Rattus norvegicus: one gene and its partners. The protein of the gene in region 3 interacts with the protein of the main gene of each other region in a pairwise test. Links are inferred from orthologs where the notes say so. Each region holds a gene or a part of one and is shown on either strand. Other genes may lie near its edges.

Evidence for each region.
Region 1: the proteins of Mtus2 (region 3) and Fam107a interact in binary tests that used the Homo sapiens proteins (3 or more experiments, as listed by UniProt). The link is inferred for Rattus norvegicus from reciprocal best matches to the Homo sapiens genes MTUS2 and FAM107A.
Region 2: the proteins of Mtus2 (region 3) and Bmp7 interact in a two-hybrid assay, tested with the Homo sapiens proteins (3 studies listed by BioGRID and IntAct). The two-hybrid records come from large-scale screens. The link is inferred for Rattus norvegicus from reciprocal best matches to the Homo sapiens genes MTUS2 and BMP7.
Region 4: the proteins of Mtus2 (region 3) and Rbm41 interact in binary tests that used the Homo sapiens proteins (3 or more experiments, as listed by UniProt). The link is inferred for Rattus norvegicus from reciprocal best matches to the Homo sapiens genes MTUS2 and RBM41.
Region 5: the proteins of Mtus2 (region 3) and Tsga10ip interact in binary tests that used the Homo sapiens proteins (3 or more experiments, as listed by UniProt). The two-hybrid records come from large-scale screens. The link is inferred for Rattus norvegicus from reciprocal best matches to the Homo sapiens genes MTUS2 and TSGA10IP.

The regions. Positions count from the first base shown.
Region 1 is NC_086033.1:19,055,015-19,060,088, reverse strand, and holds part of Fam107a (actin-associated protein FAM107A), read right to left. Parts: intron 4,320-5,074; coding exon of another isoform or gene 4,315-4,319; coding exon 4,145-4,314; intron 2,772-4,144; coding exon 2,615-2,771; intron 1,913-2,614; coding exon 1,805-1,912; 3' UTR 1-1,804. UniProt on the Homo sapiens protein: Stress-inducible actin-binding protein that plays a role in synaptic and cognitive functions by modulating actin filamentous (F-actin) dynamics. Mediates polymerization of globular actin to F-actin. Also binds to, stabilizes and bundles F-actin.
Region 2 is NC_086021.1:182,106,421-182,112,712, forward strand, and holds part of Bmp7 (bone morphogenetic protein 7 precursor), read right to left. Parts: intron 2,672-6,292; coding exon 2,479-2,671; intron 1-2,478. UniProt on the Homo sapiens protein: Growth factor of the TGF-beta superfamily that plays important role in various biological processes, including embryogenesis, hematopoiesis, neurogenesis and skeletal morphogenesis.
Region 3 is NC_086030.1:11,743,806-11,749,242, forward strand, and holds part of Mtus2 (microtubule-associated tumor suppressor candidate 2), read right to left. Parts: intron 3,398-5,437; coding exon 3,300-3,397; intron 1,680-3,299; coding exon 1,466-1,679; 3' UTR 1-1,465. UniProt on the Homo sapiens protein: Binds microtubules. Together with MAPRE1 may target the microtubule depolymerase KIF2C to the plus-end of microtubules. May regulate the dynamics of microtubules at their growing distal tip.
Region 4 is NC_086039.1:108,395,744-108,402,035, forward strand, and holds the end of Rbm41 (RNA-binding protein 41), read right to left. Parts: intron 4,980-6,292; coding exon 4,832-4,979; intron 3,023-4,831; coding exon 2,856-3,022; 3' UTR 1,426-2,855; downstream 1-1,425. UniProt on the Homo sapiens protein: May bind RNA.
Region 5 is NC_086019.1:212,132,757-212,139,048, reverse strand, and holds part of Tsga10ip (testis-specific protein 10-interacting protein), read left to right. Parts: exon of another isoform or gene 1-2,694; coding exon of another isoform or gene 2,695-2,820; coding exon 2,821-2,991; exon of another isoform or gene 2,992-6,292.

The sequences.
Region 1 (5,074 bases), on a different chromosome or scaffold from region 3:
ACCCCCAACCCTCTATTTAGGAAATACACATCTTCAGCATAATACCTCACCAGCAGATACTTAAGACAGCTTCACTGCATTTAAACCATCGTTTCTCAACCTGTGGGGCATGACCCTTTCATGGGAGGGGGGGGTCACACATTAGATATCCTGCATATCAGATATTTACATTATGATTTTAATAGTAGTAAGAATACAGTTATGAAAAAGCAATGAAAATAATTTACTGTTGGGAGGGGGTTCACCGCAACATGAGAAACTGCATTAAAGGGTCCACAGCATTAGAAAGGTTGAGAACCACTCATTTAGACCTTCAGAGTGAGAAAAACACAGAGAGTCTATTTACACATCTCCATTCACTGTCAGACCCTGTGTCCATCCCACCATCATTTCTTGGAGGCAGATCCACTGGCGCCCCAGCAGGGAAATCCGAGGGTCTGTGGCATGAGAACTTGTGCTTGTCTGGCCATGTTGTTCCCACCAGCAAAGGGCTTAAAAGCTGAGTCATGGATTTCATTCTTCAGGGGAAAGGATTCAGGCCTGGCTTACTCTGTAGATCTTTTAAAAAATGGCATAGGAACAAAAGATTCAAGTATTTGGGTGTTGTGGAGGAAGGGGACTTTGAGGAAGAAGAATGGGTGGGGAAGACCCAGACTAGGGGGAGGGGCAGGGTCTGAGGTGACAGTGCTGGCAATATTGACCTAAGAGTCTACTCCATCACCATGGCAGTGGGGTCTTCGAACTAATATATATATATATATATCTTTGCAGAGGAAATCATTGTATAGTTGCTTTCCAAAACACTGTAGAAAGCTAAGGTTATTTTTGGCTAGAATTGTATGATAGTGTGGTTACACTAGTAAGAAATAAAAATTGGCAGTTACAATCCCCTGACCAGGCTAGGGTTTCTCTCTCTCTCTCTCTCTCTCTCTCTCTCTCTCTCTCTCTCTCTCTCTCTCTGTGTGTGTGTGTGTGTGTGTGTGTGTGTGTGTGTGTGTGTGTGTGTTGGGAATACTATGGATAGTGAGTAAAGAGTTTGGGTGGCTTTAGAGGAGGCTCTGGGAAACTCCTGGTCAGGGAGCCAAGAAAGTTGGATATTTCTAATAAACCACTCTTGGCTGCTTCAGCCTAGCTATGTGTTCAAACCCATGTCCTGGACCATGGAGTATGTTATACATGTAGCTTCCAGGGACTGATCACAGGACTCTCTGATTTGTATTTACAGTAACTTGGCAACATGCTGTTCTAGGCTAGAAACCGGAGCTCTGAGGTGAAGTATGGTTTAGGGAGGGCAGTGGGGAGGAGAAATAAAAGCCAAACTATGAGGCAATCGGGCAAGGCCTAAAAGGGCGTGGCTTGGGCCCCTTCCCACCCTTCCTTGCTACAAACATCTGGTGCTTTCTTTGCTCATTCTGTGATTTCTCAAACAGGTGGCCTTAGGTTAAGCCGGAGTTGAGCTGTTTCCAATGCTAGGAGCTGAGTTGTTCCAAGAAGTAGGCCTTATTGGGCAACTGAAGCAAAATCGAGGGACACCTGGCTCTCTTCCTCTTCTGCGGGGAAGTCTCAGTGAGTCAGATCAGGAATGGCACCTCTGGAGGTCTTTCCTGGTAGTGGCTTCCTCTTGGTGCAGGAATGCTAGGTGCTCAGAAAAGTCCAGAGACTTTTCCTGTGGGGTGCGGGGGGTTTTCAGTTTCCCAGGGATAGCTTTCAGGTGTGCCTTGCTAGCATCATTGTGGGCTAGGGTCCTCAGGTTCAGGAGGGCTGGGCCAGAGCAAGTGGCAGGAGCTGCTGAGTGGAGGAAACTCTACAGTGCTCTCTCTTCGCTGGTCAGGGTGGTGATTCTGCGCAGGTTTTCCCGGACTTTGATGAACTCAGGGGCATGGTCCTCTTCTCTCTGTGGTGGGTTTTCCAGCTGGAGCAGAGAAACACAAGGAGTGAATTTGCAAAGTTGGTTGGGGATGGGGTTCCTAAACCCCATGCTATAGTTGGACCCAGGGTCCTGTCAATGGAGAAAGCCTGGGGTGGGTTTTACAAACCATTCCAAAGTTGGGATGTGTATCAGGAGAGTAGACACTTGAAAGAGAGTCAAAAAGATAAACCTAAAGAAACAAACAAACAAACAGATCTACCCTCACGTCAGGAAACATTATCAAAACAGTACGCATGAGGAAATCCCACCATCTCTGAATGTGGGGGTAGGGTGATGTGCAAAAGAACTCTCAAGGGCCAGCCTGGGGTTTTGAGGCTGAGCCTGTTCCTGCTCTGTAACCGGTATCATTCTGGAGAGTGCTCTCCTCTCCCTTAGTGGACCTCATCTCTGCCACTCTCCAAGTCCCCAGCCAGCCCTCCCAGGACACAAGAACCCAGGACTCTCAGTTTACCCACATGGGGACAGTAAGAGCCTCCCACCTATAGAATAGAAATGCCACCTGCTCTCAGAGCAGGGGTGATCAGCAGAACTAACGTCCAGGATGTAGATCTTATAGGAGGCAGAGGGTCTGAGAAGTGTTGCCACTGGAATAGAGTCACACAGTGGGCAGAGGTAGATTCTTGATCCCATGCTGGCCTTTCTCTTGGAGGAGGCTCAGACTGGAGCTGTGTGCCTCCTACCCACCTGGTTCAGTCTCTGCTGCCTTCTCAGCAGCTCCTGCTCGAAGGGGCACTGCATCCGCTTGGCCTCCAGCTCCTCCTCCTTCTTTTTGATCAGCTGATTCCTGCGACGGTGCTCCAGGACCCGCTGCAATTCTGGTTTGCGGTCCATACCCAGGCCCCTGGGGGTGGGGGTGGGGGTGGGGGTGGGGGGAACAGTCAGAATTTTTTCCTAGCCTGGCCCTGACTTTTCCTGTGATACCAATCCCAGGCCGGAAGGGGACGCTCTCACTGCCCCATGCTATAGAGAAAGGCACAGCAGGGCAAGCGCAGGTACAACCAACAGGTGAGTGAGAATTTCATAACAGGCTGCAGAAACTAGGTGGTTGCTGGATATTTTATTAGAGCTTCTGATGACGGAAATGCTAGTCTTCGTTCTCTTAAAATTTCATGGGAATTAATTTCCTTACAAAGATATCAATTTATTCCCATTTTACATGCCAACTTTTTTAAGTCCAGGAGACAAAAAGCAATGCCTGTTTCTCAGTTTTCCTTGATTATCAGTCACACGTAACAGCCTTTAAAGTGTTTCTAATGTTCACATTTTCCTATTTGCATATTAATCCCACTCGTTTTGTTTATCCTTTCCTTGTAGACTATAGTACAGGAATACATGAATATTTCATACTGTATCTCTTCGATATAATTTATTTATATTGCAAATATTTCAGTTTGCTTGAAGCTGTTTTTCATCGTGGTGGTATTTTTGATACTAAAATGAATGACTATTGCCGAAACAACTGAGAACGTGAAAATGTTACAGTATTAATTGGAAACAAACCCACCAAGAGCCTCATGTGCAACGGGTATCTGTGGCATGACTTAGAACGGAAATCACACCAGCTCCAATATAACAACCAGACGGCAGAGGGCGCCACGACGGTCCACCAGCTTCAGGCAAGCCAGGAGATCAGGATCCTCACAACGGAGGATCTTACGCTGGCTATCCCGTGATTACTGATCACAGACGAGCCATAACCCAGTTTCCCCCTTGGCCCTTCTGTTTTACAGCCATGGTCTTCCCCAATAGATGGCTAAGAAAGGGCCATCACCAGTTTTCTCTGCCAATATAACCCATCTACCCCCGGGGTTGACTCTTGCCCCTGCTTTGGTCTTTCTAGATATCATCTCTTCCATGAAGTCATATAGATAGTCCCCCTATCCTAGAAGCCCCTCTGGGGTCCCACATTCATTTAAAGCATCCAGCAACTTTCATTCCCCCTGGGGAGTGCAGAAACTGGGTCTCCGTTTTATTTGTATCTAAGGGCTGGGCGTGATACCCTGCACACAATAAGTATTTAGTAAATTTATGCGGCATCTAAGCACACAGAAAGTAGACAGAGCTTCCAGGTTCACACAGTTTCTTCTGGGGACCCTGTTGGGGCTCCAGGCAATGGGTTTGGGCCACCCCTCCCCCCCAAGAAGAATCTTCCTAAGACCAGAAGGCCTGTGCAGGCAGGGTATTGCTGGGCCAGCCATCTGGGTGCCATCCTACCTTTTGTGGTTCATAAGCAGCTCACGGTGCAGCTCCTGATGGCTTCGAGAGGCCTTCACAGGGTTTAGCAGCTTCTTGGGTTTGATGAGCTCTGAATTCCACTCTCTGTACTCTGGCCTGGCCATGAGTCCCTCGATGTCAGCCCGCTCCCTCTGGATCTCTGAGTACATGGAGGCTGTAGCGATGGGAGGTAATGTTACTTCAAATATGTCCACATCCCCTTTGGGACACAGAGTTCTCACAGAGACAGTGGCTTCTGAGCAACTTGGGTAAGCTACCTGACCATTGCTGTCTTGCTTTCTGCCTTCTGTTGTGGGACACAGACATCCCACCAAGGTAAAAAGCTTGTTGTGATTATTGGAGATGATGTTCATCTGGGACGTGGGGTACTGAGGTGCAAGGAGACCTAGGCTCACCATAGAGGCTGTCATGGGACTGGGGAAATGGTTCATTCAGGGCAGAGCTTGCAACCTGAGTTGGAGTCCCAGCAACCTGGGGAAATGCCTGGCACGATGTGGGAATTCTAGCACCGTGAGGTAGACGCACGGGGAGCTCACAACCAAAGTGCAGATATATGGTCTCTGGTGGTGCTTGGTAGTTTTGTGTCAACATGGCATAGCAGCTAGAGTCATCTGGCAAGGGTGGAGGGAACGGTGGGGTGGGGCAGACCTCGGTTGAGAAAATGCCTCCCTAGGCTGGAGGCAGGCCTGCAGGGCATTTTTCTTAATTAGTGCTTACTGTGGAAGGTTTTAGCACACATGAGCAGTACCATCCCTGGGCTGGTGTTATTGGGTGCTATAAGAGTGCTAGCCTCCTGTGAGCAAGCCATGAGGAGTAAGCCCACTGGTGTGCTGCACCTCTCCATGGCCTCTGTATCAGCTCCTGCCTCCAGGTTCCTGCTCGGTTGGAGTTCCTGTTCTGGTTTCTTTT
Region 2 (6,292 bases), on a different chromosome or scaffold from region 3:
GAGAAACCTCGGTGTCAGAGGCGACCCCCAGACCCAATGATCCTCAACCACTTGTCCCCACAGGGAGATGGGGAGAAGAGTGTGTCCGTGACAGTCAACCATCTGAGGTAGGCCGGCCGGGACTGGCTTGGATGAGGCTATGTGCTAGTGAGGCATTCTGAGAGGCAGGTTTGGAGGCCAACCAAGAGCCCCAGGCATAAGTGGATGCCCCACTTGTTGGTAAACGACCTCTGGGTATGCTCCTTCCCTTAAGCCATCAGCCATGGAGAAAGGTAAAACCCTCATCTGGCTAAGAGTCTTGATGGTCTTGGGGTGGAGCACTTATTGCTCAGCTTACAGGAGGGCCAGATTCAACTCCAGGCTAGCGGACAAACAAGAGTCCCCAGGGCAAAAATGGTCCCCAGTGCACAGCAGGTACCGGACCTCCAGAAAAAAGCCCATGTCCTCTTCGTGAGGCTGGGCCTGAGGAACAAGCTAAGATACACCGGGCATCTGAGTGAGTTCCTGGGAAGATTCAGAGTTGACCCACATGGCTGCCTTCCTGCCCCCAGCCACCCAGCTCCTTCTTGTGCCCTGCCTGCCCTCTAGTTCACTGTAGGTCTCTCTAGCAAGAAAGCCATGCAGGGTTGAGCTTGGTGCAGGGCACTGAGGGGCTGTAAGCATAAATTATAGCCACACCAGGATGCCTTCTGTCAGCCATCAGAGTGATCAAAAAGGTTCAGTAGGAGGCCTTGCGGAGTGTGTGGGGACAAGTCCTCCCTGGTTGGTGGAGAAAGCCCGGTGACCTCTGTGAAGGCCATGTGTGGGTACGTACGTGGGTGTGCACGTGCACACAGGTGTGTGACCTAGTCACAGTTCTAGAACATCAGGCAGACACGCTCAGGAGTGAGGCCACCCTCCCCCACAGCCCCGACCACAGCAGCAGAATGGAGGTCACCACACACTTGTGGGCAACAAATAGGTGATATACACAACGACACTACACCACACAACACAGCCCATCCCATGGGACTGTGTGAACATGAAATAATCAGGCTGGGTTATTGCCTGGGAAATTGCCACCACTTAGAAGCAGGAGAGAGTGGGTGGTGGTCTCTCCTCCAGAGAAAGAGAAACCCGGAGGACTGAGGACAGGAAGTCACTAAAAGATCATAATCCTCCTGTCTCAGCCCCTAGGTGGCTGGGTACCACCAGACTCAGCTCAAAATTAAATCATCGGGGGTTGGGGATTTAGCTCAGTGGTAGAGCGCTTGCCTAGGAAGCGCAAGGCCCTGGGTTCGGTCCCCAGCTCCGAAAAAAAGAACAAAAAAAAAAAAAATTAAATCATCATCAGAAAGTCTTTCCATAAGCTTGGTTTCCAGTTTGGGTCAAGTCCTCTTGTGTTCTCTCTCCTCTCCTCTCCTCTCCTCTCCTCTCCTCTCCTCTCCTCTCCTCTCCTCTCCTCTCCTCTTCCCTCCCTCCCTCCTTCCCTTCCTCTCCCTTCCTCTCCCTCTCCCTCCCCACCCCCTCATTGGCCTTCTGTGGTGACTTTAGGACACTTAGATCCTGTCCGTTTCCCAGATTTGTTACCTCAAAGTGCTTGCTGGTGTGTATATGAGGTGTCGCCTGGGTGCAAGACACCAGAAACACCACAGAAATTCCATTTCCTTCACCACCCAGATGAGCTGCCAAACAGCCATGCCAGAACCAGGCTTCCCTTGTCCCCGTTCCCGTCCTAGCTGAAGATTCCCCCTCTAACTTCCATGCCACAGCATCTGTGGGGACAAGTCCTACCGCCTCAGAGTACAAAAACCCAGCCACAAAGAAAGGAGACCTTGGCTGCTCCAGCTCAGAACTTTGGAATGTATCTGAGGGGATGGCCACCATCATCTTCAGTTCCTTGCCTTTCTCGAGGCTGTGAAGTGAGAGGATCTCCAGAAACAACAAACTTTGGTTCCTGACCTAGCACCTAGCGATTCTTAGATAGCCAAGAGTTCTCCAGCTGTTTGCTTTTGGTTTGATCCTCCTCTTCCTCCTCCTCCTCCTCTTCCTCCTGTTCCTCCTCCTCCTCTTCTTCCTCCTCCTCCTGCTCCTTCTCCTCCTCTTCTGTTCTTTTTCTGCCCTTAGCATTTGATTATAAATGGCTATTTTCATTGGCTGTCTGATATCCTCCAGGGCTACAGATCAGTGAATGGTAGGACCATCAACACCAGCTCTCCCTCCCCCCACCTCTCTCTCTCTCTCTGAACACAGCACCATACATAGAGCGTTCCTGTAGTCCTGTCCAGGGAGGCACAGCCCCAAGGTTCCCAGGGTTCCCCGACTCCCAATATCCGTGCTCGATTTTGCATGGGGTCATGGTTTGAAGGGACACTGACTCACCACACACCTCTGAGACAGTCATCTGGTAGCCTCAGCCCAGCCGCAGCCCGTCACCCACTCCTTCCTCGCAGCTGCAGGAAGCTGAGCATCCCACTGCCACGCAGACGCAGAACTTACCTGCCTGAGTGCTCCTGGAGCACCTGATAGACTGTGATCTGGAAGGTCTCGTTGTCAAACCGCTCCCGGATGTAGTCCTTATAGATCCTGAACTCGGCTGCGGTCACCGCCTCTCCCTCGGGGATCTTGGAAAGATCAAACCGGAACTCTCGATGGTGGTATCGAGGGTGGAAGAATTCCTTGTCGTGCTCCACTGGAGGGGAAGGAAACACACCAGCACCAAAACGGTTTAGCGTCTTGTTCCTTTCTGTCCATGCGACTGGCTTGAGCTGGGTGGACGCTGCCTTTGTGACCACCTCCCATCCCATGTAGGCACACCGTTGATTTTACAGTCGCAGGCTCAGACCCCAAAGCCACCTTGAACATAAAAGGGTGTGGCTCTGGATCCAGCCTGCTGGGGGAGACGAAACACAGCACACGAGACTGGAGTCCTAGCAGCTCAGGACTGGGTTCAAACCCAGCCTGGGCCACTAGAGTAGCTGTGACAGTAGAAAGATTCAAGACATCCCATTTGAAACTCAGCTCCACCACATGGAAAATGGGACTGTGACGGGCAAGAGACCAAATTCACATAAGCGACTACGATTAGGTAACTGTTGCTGGTGAACACAGACCTTGCTAGACCTGTCCTGGGACAGTGTGGAACAGTGGTAGTCTTCAGCCCTGGCTGCACAGAAGAATGACTGAAGATGCTTTTAAAAAGTAAAGGTGTTGGGGGCTGGAGAGATGGCTCAGCAGTTAAGAGCACTGATTGATCTTCCCAGAGGTCCTGAATCCAATTCCCAGCAACCACATGGTGGCTCGCAACCATCTGTAGTGGGATCTGATGCCCTCTTCTGGCATGTGTCTAAAGACAGCTACAGTGTGCTTGTGTAAGTAAAAATAAATCTTTAAAAAAAAATAATTAAAGGTGTATGTCATGGTGGGCTGGTGATACTCCCGGGTCTCATAATACCATCGAGAGAGAGTTCAGTGCTGACCCAGAGGCATTGACACGGGCTGGGAAGGAGTTCCCACAGCAGGCACCTCATACCTCACAGGGAACCAAAGGGGATCAAGAGCTGGTCAGAGAGAACTCTCCAGAAACCCCTCTTGTGTCTCCTGGTGTCCGCCCTCCTCCTGCCCACTCTTTGCCCAACAAGGAGCACATCCCTTCTACACCAGCACATGGGAAAGCCCAGCACACAAGAGAGAGAGGGGTCAGAGATGCCACCAGACCCTCTGGTTTACTGACAGGACAGGGAAGGAGAAATTCTGCAGCAGCTGCTGAGCGAGGCAGTCTCCTGCATGTTGAGAGCCTAGGGAGGTGACCCCAGGATAAGGAGGCAAGCTTAGGATAGTCCTTGTCATCTGCTGCTTCCTCCCACCCTGCCTAGCTTCATTTCCGTTGCTGAGAAAACACCCTAACACCCAGGAGAGGGGAGGGGCCATTTGGCTTACAGTTCCCGGTTCCAGTCTCTCATAGCAGGAAAGTCAGAGGCCAGAGCTTGGTCACAGGCAAGCAGAGAAAATGAATGTACCCACGTTGCCTGCTAGCTTCGTAGCTTTCTTCACTCTTGTGTGGGCAGGGCCTCCCTGCCTAAGGAATGCCACCGCCCATAGAGGGCTCGTTCTACAACGATTAGCGATCAAGACAGTACTCCACAGACAAGCTCACAGGCCCACCCGATCTAGACCAGTCTTGTACTCCCCAGCTGACTCTAGGCAGTGTCAGTTGGCAGTTAAAACTAACCAGTCCGCATGCCCAAGTCACCTTAGGAGGGGGGCCTGACACAGCAATGGGCAAGCATACACCTGAGACCCTAAGGTCTCTAACAGACTGCCTGGAGTGATGAAGCTGGATTCAATCCAGGACCTGCCAAACCGGAGACCTTCACCACCACGTACGTCTTCAACAGTACATGGGACAGAGATCTCTGCTTGTTTAACAGACTCCACCTATGTGTACATGTGTGTGTTGTGTTCATGAACCATGCATGTAACTCAGCAGACTGTCATGCAAATACTCCTGATGGAAGCCCCTCTGATCATTAGCAGAGCACACCAGCCTGCCCAGCCCAGACTCTCCAGCTGGGAGCTGGTTGTTGCTGTTTCCATCACTCTGACAGGAGTGACCATACAGTGTGTAGGTTCCTCAGTGTCTGACCTCCTTAACATGTTTACAATGCTGCCCTCTTACATGAATATTCATGGCTGCATAAAAGGCACAGTTCGATGACATGTCAACTCCCCATGATCCTCCAGGAAACCAGGATTCTTTTTTTTTTCTTTTTCTTTTTTTGGTCTTTCCAGACAGGGTTTTTCTGTGTAGCCCTGGCTGGCCTTGAACTCAGAGACCCACCTGCTTCTGCCTCTGCTCTGACACCGAACATACATTTTGGTGGTAGCAGTGTGTGCAGACCTGTGCTGCATAGTTTTATGTCAACTTGACCGAAGCTGAAGTCATTTGAGAGGAGGGGGGTCTCCAGAAAATGCTTCCAGAAACAAACGAATGAATGAATAGGAGATGCTCCGATAAGATCGCGCCGTAGGCAAGTCTACAGGCCAATAAACTAGTGACTAATGTGGGAGGGCCCAGCCCGTTGTGGGCGGGGTCAGCCCATTGTGGGCGGGGTCAGCCCATTGTGGGCGGGGTCAGCCCATTGTGGGTGGGGCCATCCCTGGGCTGGTGGTCCTGGGTTCTATAAGGAGGCAGGTTGAGCAAGCCATGGGGAGAAAGCCAGTAAGCAGCATCCTCCATGGCCTCTACATCAGCTCCTGCCTCCAGGTTCCCGCCCTGTTTGAGTTCCTGCCCTGACTTCCTTTGATGATGAACAGCGATGTGGAAGTGTAAACCGAATAAGCCCTGTCCTTCCCCAGTTATTTTGGTCATGGTGTTTTATCACAGCAATAGAAACCCTAAGATAATAATTCTCTTTCTCCCAAAGTGCCAGGGAGGTTTATGAAGGCAGCGCAGGGAACATGAGCTACAGGAGGTCAGAACTACGCAGGGAACAGGGAAACATGAAGCCACACAGAACCCAAGGATCAGGACAGAGACACACATCCCGAGAGCACCTCTGTGCCCTCACCACCCCAGGAAGGGACTTCCAGTGCACACTCCCATGTCTTTACCCAAGCAAGGTCGCAAAAGACCATACTGTAACCAGCCAGGACACAGATGGCCAGCCACAGTCTGCTGGCCTCCAGGAGGTAGCATCGAATGCGTGACTCCTGCCTTTGGACGCCATCTTCCCTTCCTCCCTCATAGGAACTGTGAGAGGCCCTGCAGACTCCCAGCCATCTCTTCTTGGCCCTAACTGCTGAGCTGTCCTACACTCTTCGGTCCACCTTACAAGCATTCCCCTAAACTCAAGCTTGGCTTCCTCTCTCGCTCTGCAGCCTCCCAGGGAGACAGGATGACAGCCCGCAGGCAGGCTTCCTGGATGCAAATGACCCCACCTACAGAAGACTGCCTACATGCTAATGGCTCCAACACAGAGAAAGTTCTGCATATAAACAACCCCCACACACACTAACACTCATGAGGCTTTCTCTCTGAGCCTCCTGCTCCTGCATCCAGTCCTCTCTTGATGGTTATAGGCCTCACAGACCAATGACAAGTCAGTGCCCAAATCATTCATAACCCACTCCAGTCATGGATGGCTGTCTCCTAACACATTCTCAGCTTGACCAACCTGCCCTGTTCCCTTGCTCTGGCAGAGCCCCCACAACCAGATCCACCATCCCCTCCCTCAGCCTCCAGGGCACTCATGGGCACTCCTCTCTATGTCCTCCCCATCCCCTCCTTGCTTTCCAGATGCACAGTTGAGTG
Region 3 (5,437 bases):
AGGTATCATTCAGCGCGGCACGGTACTGCCAGTTAAAACTACTTCTCTTTTGTGGGTCATGCTTCTAATCTTCCATAGCACTACATGAATACCTTTCATGTTCTAACTCTACCTCATTAGAGACGAAGGCCAGTCCAGCGGCTGATGGATGCTGACTGGCCGTTTCACTGCGTTCCCTTGTTTGGGAGAGCCTTCTGGGGCTAAGACGGGACCACAGCCAGGTGCAGTCCTGGTAACCCTCCAGCAGAAGGGACATGATCTAGCACCTTTAGAACTGGCTTCCCCCCCCCCTTTCCCCAAGAGAGAAAGGCTGGTTTCCGGAAGCCTTGACTAGAACCCCTGAGCCATCTTGATGTGCAGTGATGGGGTCGAGTCATAGAACCAAACTGAAAAATGGGGGTGTTGCCTATGAGAGGCGATGGTTGGGGCCATGTCGGCCCCTACCAGAACTCCTCCTCCATGAGGATGGGTCATGCATGGTCTAGATAGTCTCCGAGTTCATGCTTACCCTCATCGCAAAGGTCGCATGCGTCCGTGTTTTCCTGAGGATGCAATAATATCTTAATGGTGGATTTGCAAGGTGCCATTTGGGGTTGGGGGTGGGGAGCAAAACTGGTGTTTTCAAGATTATAATGAATTGATAAGGGGAAAAACATTGGCCAGACCATGTGATCCCTCCGGTCCCCCCCTCCCCCACACCCTGCGACATTTTACCTCCTTGGGATGGGAGAAGTCATAATTAAATCCTGCAATGGGCTGAGAGTGACCCCACCTCGCGTTGGACTAAGAAGCTAGTTGCTCCAAAGGCGGTTACCATCTACAAATCGCTGGTGTTTAGGGTAAGCAGGGTACCACTTGGTCTCATGCTTGCTTGCTTGCTTTTTCTTTTTTCTTTTTTTTTTTTCTTTTTTCTATTTTGGGTAGAAATATCTCCAGGAAACTAGATAGAAATGCGTTTTTCATTTCCCAATAATTCTTAGGCACAAGTTAGAAAACTGCTGACCGTCGCTAAAATATGTCAGCGCATCGTGTGTTATATATGTATATATATATAAAAAAAAGCAATTCGGAGTCGCCGCAGGTGTGTACCCACGCATCTGAATACACACCCGCAGCGGTGCAAGGAGGGTTTTCGAGTATTCGAAAAACGGAGCTGTTTGTGGCTGACCTAAAGTTCCGCTGCGGAACTCCGTCTCTCAGGAACAATTGGAGCTGTTTCTCTTTTGCTTCTAACTATACTAAAGCATTTTGTTTTTGTTTTTGTGTTTTGCTTTTGGACACCAGACTCTGCTGCTTACGCCTTCCTAAGCGCCAATACCAGGACGGTCTCACACGAGGGTCAGAGAGGACTCTGCCTAAGATGCAGTATGCAGCTACTGAGCATGCGCACAGGGCAGCCACCAGCACCGGCCAGCACTCCCTCGGACGGACAGAAGCTTGAGCTCCTGTGGGTGGCAGGGTGATGTCATCTAGGTGTGGTACTGACTCTGGCTGGAGAGGAGGGTCCAGAGGAGGAGCCCCTGTACACCGGAGATGTGGGGGAGAGTTTAATCGGGCTGGTCGGGTCCCCAGTCTGGAGCTTCCAAAGTAGTTCCTCGTTGGTTCGGCTCAGTCTCTTCTTTTCCTGGGTCTCTTTCTCCACGTATTCCTGGAGATTAGCATTTTCCTCCGACAGTTGTCTGCGTGGGGGAGAATGGTAGTTAGCAGCGGGAACCATTGGGCGTACTAGTGACAGAGGCTGATAGGCGGAGGCCGGGGGCAATTCCCCAGGCTCGCAGGTCTCTCTGCTGGGTTAGGGGGCAGTTGTGCACAGAGCAAAGAAAGGCTAGAGGCTGGAGTAGGAAGTGGGGGAGATGGTAGGTCACGTGGGCTGCTGCTACAGCCCATAGGAGGGGTTGCTATGGAGATTGTCTACGGCTGTGGTCAGGGTACTGACTAACAGCGCCAATCAGCCGGGAATATTTTCCCGTTACCTCCAGCCCTGAGTACGTGCCTCTGCGATTGAAGTCATTAGCTCGGCTGTAGAGTCGGTCTGTCTACATGTCTGTCTGCTGGACCACAAGTCCTAGAGGGCAGGGGTCAAGACTCTGTTATGTTCTTGGCTGGCGTTCAGCATGGCATCCAGAAAAATAGATGTTTGATCACCGTCGGTTGATAACGGGGGTCGGGGGTGGGGGAGAGAAAGCAATCGTGTGTGTGTGTGTGTGTGTGTGTGTGTGTGTGTGTGTGTGTGTGTGTGATGTCATGGTGCTTAAATTGCTGGCTTTGCTGCGTGTTTTTGGTAATTTTTGTACTTTATGTGTGTGTTTTGGCTGCGTGCATGCCCGAGAACCATTGCATGCAATGCCTGTGGAGGCCAGAAGAGGGCGCGGGTCTCCTGGAACTGTTAACTCTAACAGATAGCTGTGTGCTGTCAGGTAGGTGCGGGGAATCAAACTTGGGTCTTCTGGAAGAGCAGCCAGTGCTCTTAACCACGGAGTCACCTGTCTATTTCAACTTGTGTTTTAGAGAGTGATCGCTGCTTTCAGGAATCGGCCAGAGTAAGTACAAATACATTTTACAACTGGATGGGCTAAAGTCCCAGAAAGGTACTCTGGGCTGACGCCTGCACTTGCTGTCTGAGGAAAGGTGGCTGGGTATGTGTGGGCGTGTGAACAAGTGGCATGCCAGTGTATAAGCATGCACGTGCATCAGTGTATGTGTAAGTGTGAGCACGCGTGAATGGATATATACATGAGTGTGTGCACATAAGCATGGGTGTACACAGGATAACATATCATAGCCACACCGAGGAGTCTGGTCCAACAGAATGGGAAAAGGCGAAGGCCTCCATCTCACTCGGGCGACTTAGCCTTGCCCAGTATAATAACCTGCAGCCAGCCACAGACGCCACAGACGTTTTCACTGCACTCTGAGCTGGGGTCAAGAGTGACCCAATCCTTCCTTGAAAGCAGGAGCCTATAGGGAAGAGCTGACCCGATTTTCTGGAATATTGGGGTTACCTAGCCATGGTTCTCTTTAGCTGGGGACTTTAGCTGATGCTCTTCTCCTAATCTCTGGGATGAAATCTTCCTGCTCTGGGGCCCCTGCTTCCTGGGCTTGAGGTCCTCACTCACTTCTGGGGAACGGGGCCGGCTGGGATGCAGAGCTGGGATGTGTACCATGGGGTCACGGCCATCTGCTTTTCTTCTGATCAACTGAGAGGCACCAGGAGATTGTTCAGACTGGATACTGGGACATGCGGATGTTCCGGGAAAGCCACTTTGAGAAGGACGTAGTGAGAAACTGGGCTCACCCACCTGGTAACAACCGTGTTCTGGTCGATCCTCGCTTTGAGGTCTTCGTTCTGCTGCTGGAGTACCTGGATCTTTTCTTCCAGGATGATGTTCTTTTCCACCTAGGAAAGAGACACCAGTGAAGAAACTCCCACTGGATCAGTGGCCTTGGCTTCTGCACTTTGGAGGGTTTCCAGGAACAGGACTTTGCTAACCGCTCTGTGCAAAGCTTTTGTGGGCGGGAAAATCAGGGGAGATGGATGAGGGACCAGCACTGCTCTTTTCAGAAAGACAGAACAGAAAATGCCAGAGTGTGCTCTGTTGGTAGTAAAAAGCACTGTGGTACATAGTTTAGACTCTCTCTCTCTCTCTCTCTCTCTCTCTCTCTCTCTCTCTGTGTGTGTGAGAGAGAGAGAGAGAGAGAGACAGACAGACAGACAGACAGATAGAGAGAGACAGAGAGAGAGACAGAGACAGAGAGAGACAGAAACAGAGAGACAGAGACAGAGAGATACAGAGACAGAGAGAGACAGAGAGAGATAGAGAGACAGAGACAGAGAGATGGAGACAGAGAGAGACAGAAACAGAGAGACAGAGACAGAGAGAGACAGAGACAGAGAGGCAGAGGCAGAGAACATATGTTTCTTTTACAGTGAGTATTACAGGTCACTTTCATGGTCAGAATCAGGCTGTGGATCCCAGTTTGATCAGTGGGTCTGTGGTCAACTTCAGGGAATCCCTGTTCCTTGCACATGTACTTGGCCCTGCTCAGGTGCTTCTGAATGATCAGGGCTAGAGAGCCAAGGATAGCAGGTATATTTCGTTCCTTTCCTGACAGAACAACAAAGCTAAGACGCCTAGAAGTCTACAGGTCTAGGGGAACTTCTTTGTTTTTGAAGATACAGAGGCGAAAGTCAATTCTGTAAAGCAGAGAGAGGAAGCCTTGGTGCCCTATTGGGAAAGCCTTTCACAGTGAACGTTTCTCCAGTTTAGGCCATCCCTCCATCACTGTGGGATCCAGCTGATGAGTGCGTTCCTTCTGACTTTAGGATATTTTTTAGAGGCTTTACTCTGTAGCTCATGCTGGCAGGAACTTGCTGTGTGACTCAGGGTGCCCTGGAATACATGTCAGTCTTCCTGCGTTAGCTTCCCAGCTGCCCGCTGCAATGACTGGGATGAACCACATGCCTGGATTGTCCCGTGAAAGAGGGCGGTACATTGACTGTTCCTGTAGCTAATCTTTAAAGAACACTGCAACTTGCCCATGAGTAGGGCTTAGGAATCCTTGTCGAGGACAGATAGGGTAGCAAGGCACCCTACCTGGCCTTCATCTTTGGTCCCAGGAAGTAGGAAATAATAGATTCCAGGACAGGTAGTCATGTAGGCCTTTTGCAAAGCCAGAACATGGTGTAACATAGCCAGCCCAGCCCAGGGGCTTGTGGGTAGCCCTAAGCAGACAGGAAGTTGGATGGCTGCTTCAAGGGTCACCCTAGCCAGGAGAATATGGCAAGATCAGGTCTGTGCAGCCCCTGTGGTCCGGGGTAAGTGCTGGGTTGCTGGGATGAGCTAGCTATGTGGCTCCCAGTGTCCAGGACAGTGGCAACAGACACACCTGACTTCCCACTGCCTGGAATGAGCCTGTGCAACAAGAGACGCCAGCAATGGAGAGCAACATGGACCAAATGCAGCAGGCGCTGCCGGGTCAGCTCCTGGTTTGGGTAAGCCGTTCGCAAAGGATGTTTCAGAGATAAACAGGGCTGAGATGTCTAGTAACTAACTCATAGGTGTGATACACGTCTATAATCTCAGCACGCTGGTGGTGGAGGCAGGGGGATCACAAGTTTCAGACCAGCATGGGCTACATAGCAAGACCCTAACTGGGGGTAGGGGTGGGGGTGGGGGAAACCTGTTTGTTGGAAGAGGGCTATAGAACACTGTACAAAATTTGGTGTGTGTGTGTGTGTGTGTGTGTGTGTGTGTGTGTGTGTGTAGGAGAGAGGGGTATTAAGACACATCTCTGTGAAGTGTTAACAGTAGGAGGCATATGATATTTTAATTTTCGTATTTTCATTTATCATATTTTATAATTTCCTATCTTGTATACATTCTCTCTTCCTCTTTCATTGTAGCAAACATTTAAAAAGTCACAACAACAAACGGGG
Region 4 (6,292 bases), on a different chromosome or scaffold from region 3:
AGAAATGTCTCCTGTTTTTTAAATAAACAGCTTGTGAAGAGATTGGATTACTGTTTGATTAAACATTTAGTAGAATTCTAGAAATCAAATCAAAAGCAACCTAAGTATGGGTATTGTTGTGGCTTATCTGTCTTGTTAATTATTAATCTTTGTTATTAGGTTTATTTTGGCTTCTTATACTTGGCTCTTGGTACTTTATCTTTTCAGGAATTTGTTTATTTTCAGTAAGTTAATTTATTGACACATGAGTATAATAATATTCCCTTATTCACCTTTTATTTTTCCAAGGTCAGTAGCAATGTTCCCTCCTTTATTTCCCATTCTAATAATTATAGTCTACCTTGTCCTGCTATATGTAGTAAAAGGTCTACCAGTTCCTTGCTTGGATTCACTGCATTTTCTCTGTTGTATTCTTCTCATGCATTTTGCGTGGTTTCCCAGTTGTGTTTGTTCTAGGTTCTATCCTAGCTATGGCTTAGGATAGGAACTGAATCAGTTCCATGATCTTTCTTCTCGTTTCATAGGCTTATCTCTAAGCATGCCCCACATAGACTAAAGGTAGCTGGGAACCACCCAGTGTGGATGCTGGGGCTCAAACGCAGGTGCTCAGCGAGAGAGGTAAGCACACCTATGCACTGAGCCATTTCTCCAGCTTCTCTGTTTTTTTCCTCACCGACTTGGTGTTTAGATATCACTAATTTTCACTTATTTGGGAGTTTCCCAATTTATTGTCACTGATTTGTAACCTCCTCCCATGTGGAAGAGCACAAGTTTGAGATTATTTTAGTCTATTTGTATTTATTAAGGCTTGTTTTACGGTTCAGCTCATGATCTAGCCTAAGGATGTTTCGTATACATAGGGTGAAAATATATATTCTAGTGTAGGGTAGAATGTTCTATAGCTGTCTTTCGAATCTATCTAGCACCCAGTGTTGAAGCTGGCTATCCCCAGTGTTGAAGCTGGCTACTTCCTTGTTTAGGAAGGAAACACTAGGCATCCACCAGTTTCTCCTTTCACTCTTGACTTCGCTACCTTGCATCAGGTTATGTGGTGGCTCTGTAGTTACGTGATTAAAATTCTCACATCCTAAAACATTGACCTTTTAAACAAAGAATGGATCTTTATGTCTACTGTTTGTGTTTCCTTTTCCCTCTTCCTCATGCTTTAGGGTATGACGGCCATGCAGACTTTCTACATTCCAGGGCTAACAGTGCAGTATAATTACCAATACAATTCTGTGACTTTTAGGAACCTAACTTAGGTTTACAGCCTTGTAAAATTTAGCCACCTTATTTCCCTTTTGTCTTCCTTGTTCCTGTGGATTCACACTATTTCCCTTTTGTCTTCTTTTTTCCTGTGGATTCGCACTATTTCCCTTTTGTCTTCTTTTTTCCGGTGGATTCACACTATTTCCCTTTTGTCTTCTTTTTTCCTGTGGATTCGCACTATTTCCCTTTTGTCTTCTTTTTTCCTGTGGATTCACACTATTTCCCTTTTGTTTTCTTTCTTCCTATGGATTCGCACTATTTCCCTTTTGTTTTCTTTGTTCCTATGGATTCGCACTATTTTTAGAGAAACTTCAGCATTAGCTCCTATCCTTTTTGCCCTGTTATTGGCAGGTCCTACGGTTTGAACTCAGGTCTTCCTGTTTGGTGGCAAATGCCTTTACTCACTGAGCCATTTTACTCATCCTTTTGCAGTATTTTTATGCTTCCTTCTCCCTTTTTGAATGGGATTCTTATTATATGTTGTTTGATGTACTTAGTGGAAGTTCCTTAGAGTTCCTTCATTTTTCCCCTTTTTCCTTACCTTGGATAGTATAATCTCATTTAACCAGGGAGGTGAGAAGCAATGTTACTATTTATGGATGAGATAAATTAGGCTCAGATTAAGTGACTTTCTAAGCTCAGGGTGGTAAACATGGGTGACTTTGAGGGTCACAGGTCTAACTCCAAAGCTGGTTCTACCATCTAAACCATATTAGGTTCCTATTCTTCAATGACTCTAAACAAATCACCAGGGGATTTGAGGCAGGCTGACTTTCTTCTAAAACACTTTCTTTCCTTGTCCCTTTAGTATATATGCTACTTCATTCCTCTTGAAAGTTCATGTACCTAATATTTAACATATATTAGGCAGGTACTCCATGTTAAATGTGTACTGTTTGGAACTCAATCGTATCATGAGATTACCAATATTTAAAAGATGTTATAGTAATACATATGGTTTTGAGGACTCTGAAAACAGTGTGGAAGCAATCATTAAATAAATAAATAAATAAAACTTATGAATCTATCTACTGAAACTGCTGAAAGTTCGGACAAAATACAGTCTGAGTTCTAGTAAATAGTTATTTTAACACTGGGTTTCTTTTAAAACTTTGTATACAGGAAACAGTCCTAGAAAAAGTCTTATGTCTAGGACTAAACACTGAAGACTACAAACTATTAAAGAATTTTTGGAATCTTGAGGAACAGTCCTATGTAATATTTCCTGAGAATTAAAGGTTTTCACATGATCTTAATACTCAGAGTATTATCTGACATATAGAATGTTTCATTATTATTTTTTTTCACTCAGGATATTGTCAATTTTATATAATCTTTTTGATGCTATACAGTATTTAATTATAGAATGTATTTTTATCAATTCTTTCCAAATGCTGAGGCCATTGTCCTAATTTCTGTCTTTCTAATATTTCCTCTTCTATTTTCAACAAATTTTTAAGAATACACACATTCTTGATCTAAGATTATGATAAAAGCAAAATCATCTGAGTGTATATTTACATACATACATACATACTACATACATATATTCCAATGTGCATGTACATGTGGGTTGATATGGGTTTCTAGCTACCATTGATTTCTGCTCTGCCATCTGTAGCAGATGCTATAAGCGGAGCGCACTGAGCAGCTGACTGCTGCTTTCTGCTCTTCGCAAACTCTATCACCAATATTTTCCCATAGAGTTTATATCCATTAATTTGGTGCAGTGCTTGCCATGCTATGTCTTTATCTGGAAAAGAATAAGAAAAATGCATCAAATTATATAGAGCTCAATCACTCAGTTATATTACAGGTTTAATTGTGATTTGTTTGCTATAAAAATCATACTGATGTCTGATGTTTTGCCTTGTCCACAATCCCCAATTTATATACGTTAGCAAGATTAAATTACTGTGTAATAATAGTGACAAAAGACCCTCAAAACGTACATTTGATTCAAAGATATAAGGATACATAAGGAGTATATTTAAAACGTCTAAGTTAAACCTAACTATAAACATGACTTTACCTTAGATAGATTATAGATACAGGAAGCAAAATTTTTTAAATTGTTACACAAATAAAAGAAGGTACCACACTATTGAACACACTTAGCTACTGTTTTCTTTTAGAAAGAAAGTGGTGGGGGATAGTGAACTTTTCTTGCAGGTATATAAAAATGTGTGTCTGAGAATATATAGTACAGAACAGGAATATTCAGCATATGGGTATCAGGGATCATATGTAAGAAATGAGAAGGGGCTAGATTTTGGAGTAGAGTCTGTGGAATTATAAGTAGAAAGTGCCATTAGACTGAGATCATTTCGTCTCAGATATATACCAAATTTTCAAGTGTGTACTATAGCTATTAGGATTAGTAAAATAGCTACAAATTTATTAGTATAAAGCAGGGACAGGAGAGATGGTTCTAGAAGTAAAAGGCTTGCTATGAAGGCATGAGAACTTGAGCGCAGATCCCTGGTACCCATATGAAATTCCAGGCGTGGAGGCAGGCATGGGCAACCCTAGAGCTAGGGAGGTAGCGAGTTCCTGTTGCTCACTGACCAGCCAGCTGGGCCACATCCATGAGCTCTAAGATCAGTGACAAAATTAGGGTGGAAGAGCAGCTGAAGAAGACACTGTGGTTAGCTTCTAACCACCACATACATGTGCATACACACACAAACACACACATGAGCATATACACACATACACTTTACAAACACGTACATATACAAATGTTAAAGTCTTTGTATTGTGTATCTTTCAATTAGAAGGTTAGATATATTTTGTAAGAATACATGAAATTTGTTTTCAAATTTAATGGAATTCTCCCTTCAAAAGACTGAAAACCATGGGTACAAAGAATCTACAAACCTTCAGTGAGATAGAAAAGACAGTATAAGGTTATATGAAAGCAAGGGGGATAAGATCAGCAATTCTCCTGTAAAGTCACTTGCCCACATAAAAGTTACAGAGTATTACAATGACAGTTTAGAGGCAATGGGAGGTATAGATCCTAGTAGCTTCTTCATGCTGAAGACATACTGGCTAGCTTACTAAGATCAAAATTACTGTATTTTTCTTGCACTTTGATTAGAGCATGTAATGACATGCAAGTGATATTTGGAAGAATGTATTATCTTCCAACAATTATGAATTGGCAATGAGTTAATTAGCTTAAAATCACTTAGTCCTAAATAAAAGAAATATGAGAAAAAGATATGTCTTCTTATCACAATGCCAACACACTAACTGTGAATAATTCTACTGTAATACAGAGTAGAAGCAGCACTGCGACAGAAATAAATGAATACTGGTAGGGTAGGAAGGAAATGTCAAAATGGCAAAACTGAGGACACTAGGGTAAGGTGCTTGTGTAGCATCCACAGGAAACAGGAAGCAAGTATAGGAAGGAAGATCAAGGAATACTGGAAATATATTTTCCTTCCTGGCCCCCTTCCATGTGCTAAGGTTCTAATGTAATTCAGTGAGGTAAGAAGTGGTTTCTCATGTACTGATGCTACAATAGAGTGGCTACCTTGATGAAGATACTCACTGGGAAAGGTGATGAAAGCCTGTCCCCTCATGCGTCCAGTCATCATTTGGAACTGAATGAGTGGTCCTTTTTTCTCCTGGAATCGAGCGAATAATGAGATAAGGTCTCTTTCTTTCACCCGAGGACTAAGGTTCTTCAGATATAGCACCTAATACAAATTGAGAGGTGACAAAAATAATCACATGAGGAAAGCAACCCTTTCATTATGGCTTGAATTACTTTCAGATAAAGATGGGAGACTGAACAGTCATCTAATGTTATTATCTCCAGTAAATTCTAAAACCAACAAGGTTAGAAAGAACCAAGAAAGAAAGCAACAGCAACAACATTCTGGAAGGTACAAAATCGATGGTTGAGTAGGAACTAAACACACCAAAGAAGGCTCAATAGGAAATCCACAGGATGGGAATCCAAGAACACGTGCAATCTTCTTTTAAAGTCTTCATAAGTCAGGAGTGGGCTAGGGAGGTGGCTCTGTGGGTAAAAGTGATTTTAAGTTGCTGGTAACCCATGTTAAAAAGCTAGGTGGATTCCTAGAGATTGCTGGCTGGCCAGGCTAGCCAGTTGATGATTTCTGAACTCAGTGAGAGCCTATCTCAAAAAAGTAGAAGGTGGAGAGCGACATAGGCAGACACATGACACTGACCTGTAGCGTCTATAAATGCACACACACACACACACACACACACACACACACACACACACGCACAAAATAAATAAATAAATAAATAAATAAATAAATAAATAAATAAATAAATAATTCAGAAGTCAGCACAGTGGTGAAAACCTGTAACTCTACCAACTAGGAAGGCTAAGTTGGGACAAGAGTCCAGTCTGGACAACATAGTGATATCTTGTTTAAAAATTAAATAAATATATAAAATACAAAAATAAGAAAGAATGCATCCACAAACACTTCAAGAATTGAGAGCTTTGGGGAGCTCTGGAAGTAGATGTGATTAGATTAATGTTGAAATGAAGATGGTAATTTGAAGGCAGTTGCAAAATGAGGGATTTTTAACCCCTCTGCAAGTAGGGCAACTCACCAATCCTGGTAGAATATGAAGGTTAATTGTCAGAAAATGTGGAACGTCTTATATAGCCGAGGTCAAGAGTAGTGTTTCTGAAAGCAAGGAGACTGAAAAATGCATATTAAATACTAGGAACACTCATGACCTGACTACCATTCCTCCACTAGAACCCTTCCTGTTTTTTTGTAAGAAAACATAAGGGCAGTCTTCTCTTGGGGAACTAAGCCCCAGGGAAACACAAACATAGTGATTTGGAGTAGAGAAGTCCTCCAACAAATGGGTCCTTGTTTTTAACTGTTTTCTTATTGTCATTTGGAGACAGAGGCTCACTATATACCACAGGCTGGCCTAGAACTCTCAATCCTCCTGCTTCAGCCTCCTAAGTGCTGGGATTATAAAACATGACCTTGGATTCAAACTACACAAAGGC
Region 5 (6,292 bases), on a different chromosome or scaffold from region 3:
ATTTTTATTGATCAATCAAAAACCAATTGGGGAAAAGAACCTTCAATGTCTGGACATGAAGATTCCTGATTGAATCAAAGCAATCTCCAACAACCTTGAATTCTGACTCTGTTTCTGTGCAGGTACTGGGCTTACAGCCCTGCACCACCACCCTTGGTTATCAGATTCCTTTTCTCTTTTCTTTCTTTCTTTTCTTTTTTTTTTTAGACAGGGTTTCTCTTTGTAGTCCTGGCTGTCCTGGAACTCACTTTGTAGACCAGGCTGTCCTCAAACTCAAACTCACAGAGATCTGTCTGTCTCTGCCTCTCTAGTGCTGGGATCAAAGTCATGTACCACCATACTCAGATTATTTTGATTTTATGTGTATAGTTGTTTTAGCTACATGTATGTCTGTGCACCACGTGAATGTCTGGTGTATGCATCATGATCGTGCTTCATACACAGGGAGGTCAGAAGAAGGCATTTGTTCCCTTGAACTGGAGTTGCAGATGGCTGTGACCTCATGTGGGTACTGGAATTGAACCTGGGTCTCTAGAAGAGCAACAAGTGCTCTAAAGCCCCGAGCCATCTTGCCAGCCCGTTTTTATATTCCCACTATGTATAAGGGCCCAGCTTCTCCATACCCTTATCGACAGCGGCTATCTTTTGTTGGTTGTTTTGTTTAGGAAAATCCTTGCTATTTAACTAGAACTACCATGTCTGGTACTTGCTATGTATGTACTAACTGGCACTGAACTTTCTGTAATCCTCCTGCCTCAGCCTCCCAGGTCTCAGGATTACAGGTTTGTATCACCATGCCTGATCTGTTGACCATTTTCTTTTTTAAATGTATTTTGTGTGAGTATGGGCATCGTTATGTATAATGGCAGGAGTTGGTTTTCTTCCACCACTTTGAGGAAAGGTGTCTCATTTCTGCCAGAATTCTGTGTACTATAGGCTCCCTGGCCTGTGAGTCAAACCTGTCTTTGCCACACTTCTCACATAGGAGCGCTGGGATTATAGATGTGCAAATCCACACCTGGCTTTTTCTTGGGCCCTAAGGCTTGAACTCAGGCGGGTGTGGCCAGGCTTTTAACTGCCTCCCACCTCCCAGTCGCCATTTTCAATTTGTATTTTCTTACTGGTGTTGAGGTCAGCTGTTACCTGTTTTTAGTGTTTTGTTTGCAGATGTTCTTTGTTTCCTTTGCTATGTAGAGACTTAATTTCCTACATATATACCAAAAATACTAAAAAAAAAAATCATGGGGTTGGGGATTTAGCTCAGTGGTAGAGCGCTTGCTAGGCCCTGGGTTCGGTCCCCAGCTCCGAAAAAAAGAAAAAAGAAATCACTGTCCAGTCCAACATCGTGGAGTTCCCCTTTCATTTCGATCACTTTTCTGTTGTTCTTTTGAGATAAGGTTTCTCTGTGCAGTCCTGGCTGTCTAGGAATTCACTCTGTACACCAGGCTGGTCTTGAATTCAGAGAGATCTGCCTGCCTTTGCCTTGTGAGGGCTGGAACTAAGCATGTGTCACCACGTGAGCTCTGTGAGAACTTTTAGTTTCAGGTTTTCAGTTTAAATGCTTTGCCCACTTGAGTTGGTGTTGGCATGTTGTATGGAACAATAGTCTACTGTAATTCTTTTAACAGAGATAGCCAGTTTTCCCACACACTTATGAGGAAACCTTCCTTTCCCTCTGGAAAATCAATGTGCTGTTTGAGCTTTGCATTCTGGCCTGTTAGTCCATCGTCTGCATTTTTACCTCAGTGTCATGTTCTGATTACTGATTGATGGTTTAGGAAATCAGGGCATGTGATATTTCCAGTTCTTCTTTCTGTTAAGAAGATTTAAAGTCCAGTGTGGTGGTGCAGTTTGTAATCCCAGCACCTTGCAGGTCAGGGTAGGAGTCAAGTTTCAGGTCATTCTCAGCTACATGGAGCGTTTGAGGCCAGCCAGGGATACAAAAGAGGTGAAATGAACAAAGTATGTAGCTAGAGATGGGGGTCCCTAAAAAGGAGGTGGGGTAGCCAGGGAATGTCTCTCTGTGAGAAATGACATTTCAACAGGTGACCGATGAACCATGGCATCTGGGGGAGAGTATCCCAGGTTTGTCTAGTTGCTGTTCAGTTACCCACCCTTGCCCACCTCTTCTTTCATAGATGAAGTTCTCTAACCTTTTAATTCTTTCCCACACATTTATCTGTCTGACTGTCTGTCTGAATGTGTCTCATCCTCATCCTGTTAGGCACTAAAGTAGAGTGGTTAGAGGTCTGGCTTTCCTCACAGCCAGCTGCTGGGAAGGGAATGTGAGCAGTGCAAAGGGTCCCAGGCTGTGCACTGAGCTCCTCGGGGCTCCGCAGTCCTAGGCTGCGCTCTAGACATTCAGGAGGCCTGGGCCCAACGTTAAGACCTGGCCATCAGCTGGGAGGCGGTGGCGCATGCCTTTGCTCTCAGCACTCAAGAGGCAGAATAAGGTGAATCTGAGTTTGAGGCCAACCTGGTCTACAGAAGAGTTCCAGTCCAGCTAGGGCTACACAGAGAAGCTCTGTCTCAAAACAAAACAAACAAACAACAACAACAACTAAACCAACCAAACAACAAACAAAAAACCAAACCAAACAAACAAACAAGGAACCTGAGTAGTAAGTAGGGACAGGCCTAAGGCTGGTTGCTGCATAAAACCTGCTTCCATGACAAATGCCATTTATTTCCCAGGACTTGGGCTCTTAGAGACACGTACTTCTTCCCACAGTCCCTCACCTCTGGACCACATGCTCCTCCATGCTACCTTGGCCTTCCTCGAGCTCCTGATCCCCATGGACATCCCCCCTTTCTCACCAGAAACCTGCTGCAGGCCTGGGAACAGCAGCAGCTGAAGGAGAAGCAGCAGGCGGAGATGCGCAGGGCTCGGGAGCAGCAAGTGCAGCAGCAGGTGGCCCGGTGTCTGGCGGCCTACACGCCAGGAGGGAACAGAGGGACCCTGGGTCCTCAGCGCAAACTAGAGGAGCTGAGGTAGGAAGCCAGGCTTTGGAGGGCCTGGCTGGGGGCAGGGCAGGGACACTGTGCTGGGAGTCAAGCTGCAGGACCTCACAGCAGGCAAGCCAGACCACCTAGCTGCATCTTACAAATGAAGACGTGGAGGCCCCTGGAGAAGGGGCTGGGCCAAGATCATTCAGTTATTAATAGTAACCCCTTCAGATAGTGCATCCTGTGTATTCTGCACACAGTCACGATTTTAAATCTTATTTTTTGGTTTCATGGTGTTATGTGCTTATTATAAAGACTGAGACATCTGGACATGGTGGTAAACACCTTTAATCCCAGCACTCTGGAGGCAAAGGCAGGTAGGTAGATTGTTGTGAGTTTGAAGCCATTGAAGGAGACCCTGTTCAAAAACAAATTGTTGAGGTGTTGGAGAGATGGCTCGGTGGCTAAGAACACCTGTTGTTCTTTTTTTTTTTTTTTTGCAGAGCTGGGAACCGAACCCAGGGCCTTGCGCTTCCTAGGCAAGCGCTCTACCACTGAGCTAAATCCCCAACCCCACACCTGTTGTTCTTACAAAGGACCTGGATTCAGTTCCACATGGTGACTCATAACCATTTATAACTCCAGTTCCAAGGAATCCAACACCCTCTTCTAGCCTCTGTGAACACTAGGCACAGATGTGGTACACGTGCACTTACACACATGCAGACTAAACACTCATACATAGAAAGTAAAAATACAGATGTAAAATGTCGAGGATTTCAGAAACAGTTGATGCGCTCTGTAAATAGTCCCAGGGGCTCCACTCCTGGAGACAAGTAGGAAGCATGGTCGGCTGGAATTACGTGTTTCACTGGCTTTCCAGATGTATAATCCCTCTCCCCTTTTTTTGAGCTGGGGTCTCTTTATGTACCCCTTGCTGGCCTGTAACACCAGGTTTTCCCAGAGATCCCTCCAAGGCAGCGCTATGCCCAGCTCTTTCTCTTGAGATATGGACTCCTCTTGATAGTCCAGGCTGTCTTGGAACTCACTGTACAGATCAAGCTGGCTGCAAATGCATGGTCATCTATCTATCCCCAAGTGCTGATTCCAGGTCCGGGCCACCACTCTCAAGACTATTTTTCTTGGAAGCAAATTCATGAGTCAAACAACACTTCCTAATGGGCCATGAGTGAGGTAGTACCAATATCCGCCTAGAACCACAGAGGAAGAACTAAGGCCCAGAAAGCAGAGAGCTTAAACGATCTGCCAACATCTGAAGGAAGCCCTGGAAGCTGTTGGATTACCTGCCACATTGCCTAGATGTTTTAGTGCTTCTTCTTCAGTGAAAGGACACATGACAGTCCTTGCAATGGCTCAACCTTATGACATAGATAGCATGTTTAAGTACAGTCACTTAAGCTATTGACTTGAGGGCAGGCAGGGGTGGCAAACACATCTCAGCACTTGGGAGGCAGAGGAAGGTGGATCTTTGTGAGTTCGATGCCAGCCTGGTTTGTAGAGTGAGTTTTGGGGGCCAGGGCTATGCAGAGAAACCTTACTACAGAAAAAACCAAATCAGACAAAGAGACTTAAGCCTTGACTCGAACACCTATGGGTTCCTATCTATCCATTCCCACCTTCCTCTGGCTCATGATGTGTGGGAAGAGGTTTCATGGGCTGCAGTATGGCATCATGGTCTTGGCAGGACTCAGATCATCCATACAGAATCAATTGTATCTCAACTTTATTTTAAAATTATTAGTTATATTTTGAGGCAGAATCTCCCAATGTAGTTCTTGGTGCCCTAGACTCACTATGTAGACTAAGCTGACCTCAAACTCATAGAGATCCTTCTGTCTCTGCCTCCCGAGTACTAGGATTTAAGAGATGTGCCACCGCCCCTGGCTAGCTCAACTTCATAGGTAATTTTACAGAACAGTGTCTTCTGGGGACACAGTTCTGCTTGCAGGGCACTGTTTTTTTTTTTTTTTTTTTTTTTTTTCCCCCGGAGCTGGGGACCGAACCCAGGGCCTTGCGCTTCCTAGGCAAGCGCTCTACCACTGAGCTAAATCCCCAACCCCCCAAGCTTTTTTTATTTTATTTTTTATTTTTTTATTTATTTATTTTTTTTTCAGGGCACTGTTCTTTAACCTTTTTTTTTTTTTTAAGTGTGTGTATGTAGGTCAGATGAGGACTTGCAAGTCAGTTCTCTCCTCTCACCAAGTGGGTCCTGGGGATGGAACTCAGCTCCTCAGGCAGAACAGCTGGCACCTTAACTCACTTGAGTCATCGGGAAGCACCCTCACCCCACCCACATTTTTTCCTTTAAGTCTCATTCTATAGCTCAGGCTGCTCAGATCTGTGGCCATCTGCCTGCCCCAGCCTCCCAAGCACGGGGATTGCAAACAGTTGCCACCATTAGTCCCTGCTATTATTAGGTCTTTACAAGAGGAAAGTGTAAGGCCCGTTCTCCAGCTGTGGGGTGCATGAGAGGAATGCTAGAATCTGACTTCAGGTGAAGAAGACACAGGCAGACCTTTCCTGGCAGTCTTCCAGTCTGGCTAGGACAGATGCCAGAAACTCTCTTCTCCATGAGAAGGTTTGTTCAACTTTACCAACCAAGACTCGGGTGTTGCCTGGGAGGAGAGGCACAGTAGAGGGGACACTGGGAACACTGTGGCAGGGAAAAATGTCATCCCATCCTACTTTAGAATGACAGGGCTGGTACCATTGGCACCAGGTTTGTTTTTTGTTTTTTTTTTTGGCATGAAGTTCAAGACACAGGCGTCCTAACAGAGATAACAAGATATCCAGTAAGATGTTGGGCACAATGGTGCATATGTAATCCTTGCTACTTGCAGGGCTGAGCAGGAAGACAGCTTGAGGCCTGGAATTTGAGTCTAGCCTGGGCTATACAGCCTGTCTCAAAAACAAGCTTGGCATGCAGGCATGTGCCTATTTTCCTGGTATTTAGGAGGCTGAGGCAGGAGGATTGTGCATTTGGGGCCAGCCTGGACTACAGCACACAATCCAGTCTCCAAAACCTAAATAAATAGGGGCCTGAGAGATGGCCTAGACAGCGATGTGCTTGGTGCATGAGGACCAGAGCTGACTCCTTAGCACCCATTTGTTTTTTAAATTAAAAACATCAACAAAGCGAACCCAGGTGCAACTGTGTTCAACCATAATTCCGGTGCCTGAGAGGCTTGCTGGCCAGCCAGTCTAGTCAAACTGGTGAGCTCCAGGTTCAGTGAAAGACCTCGTCTAAATGAGTAAAATGCCTAGCACAGTGGCACACTCACCTTTAGTCCTACCTCTTGGGAGAGAATTCCAGGCTAGCCTGGTC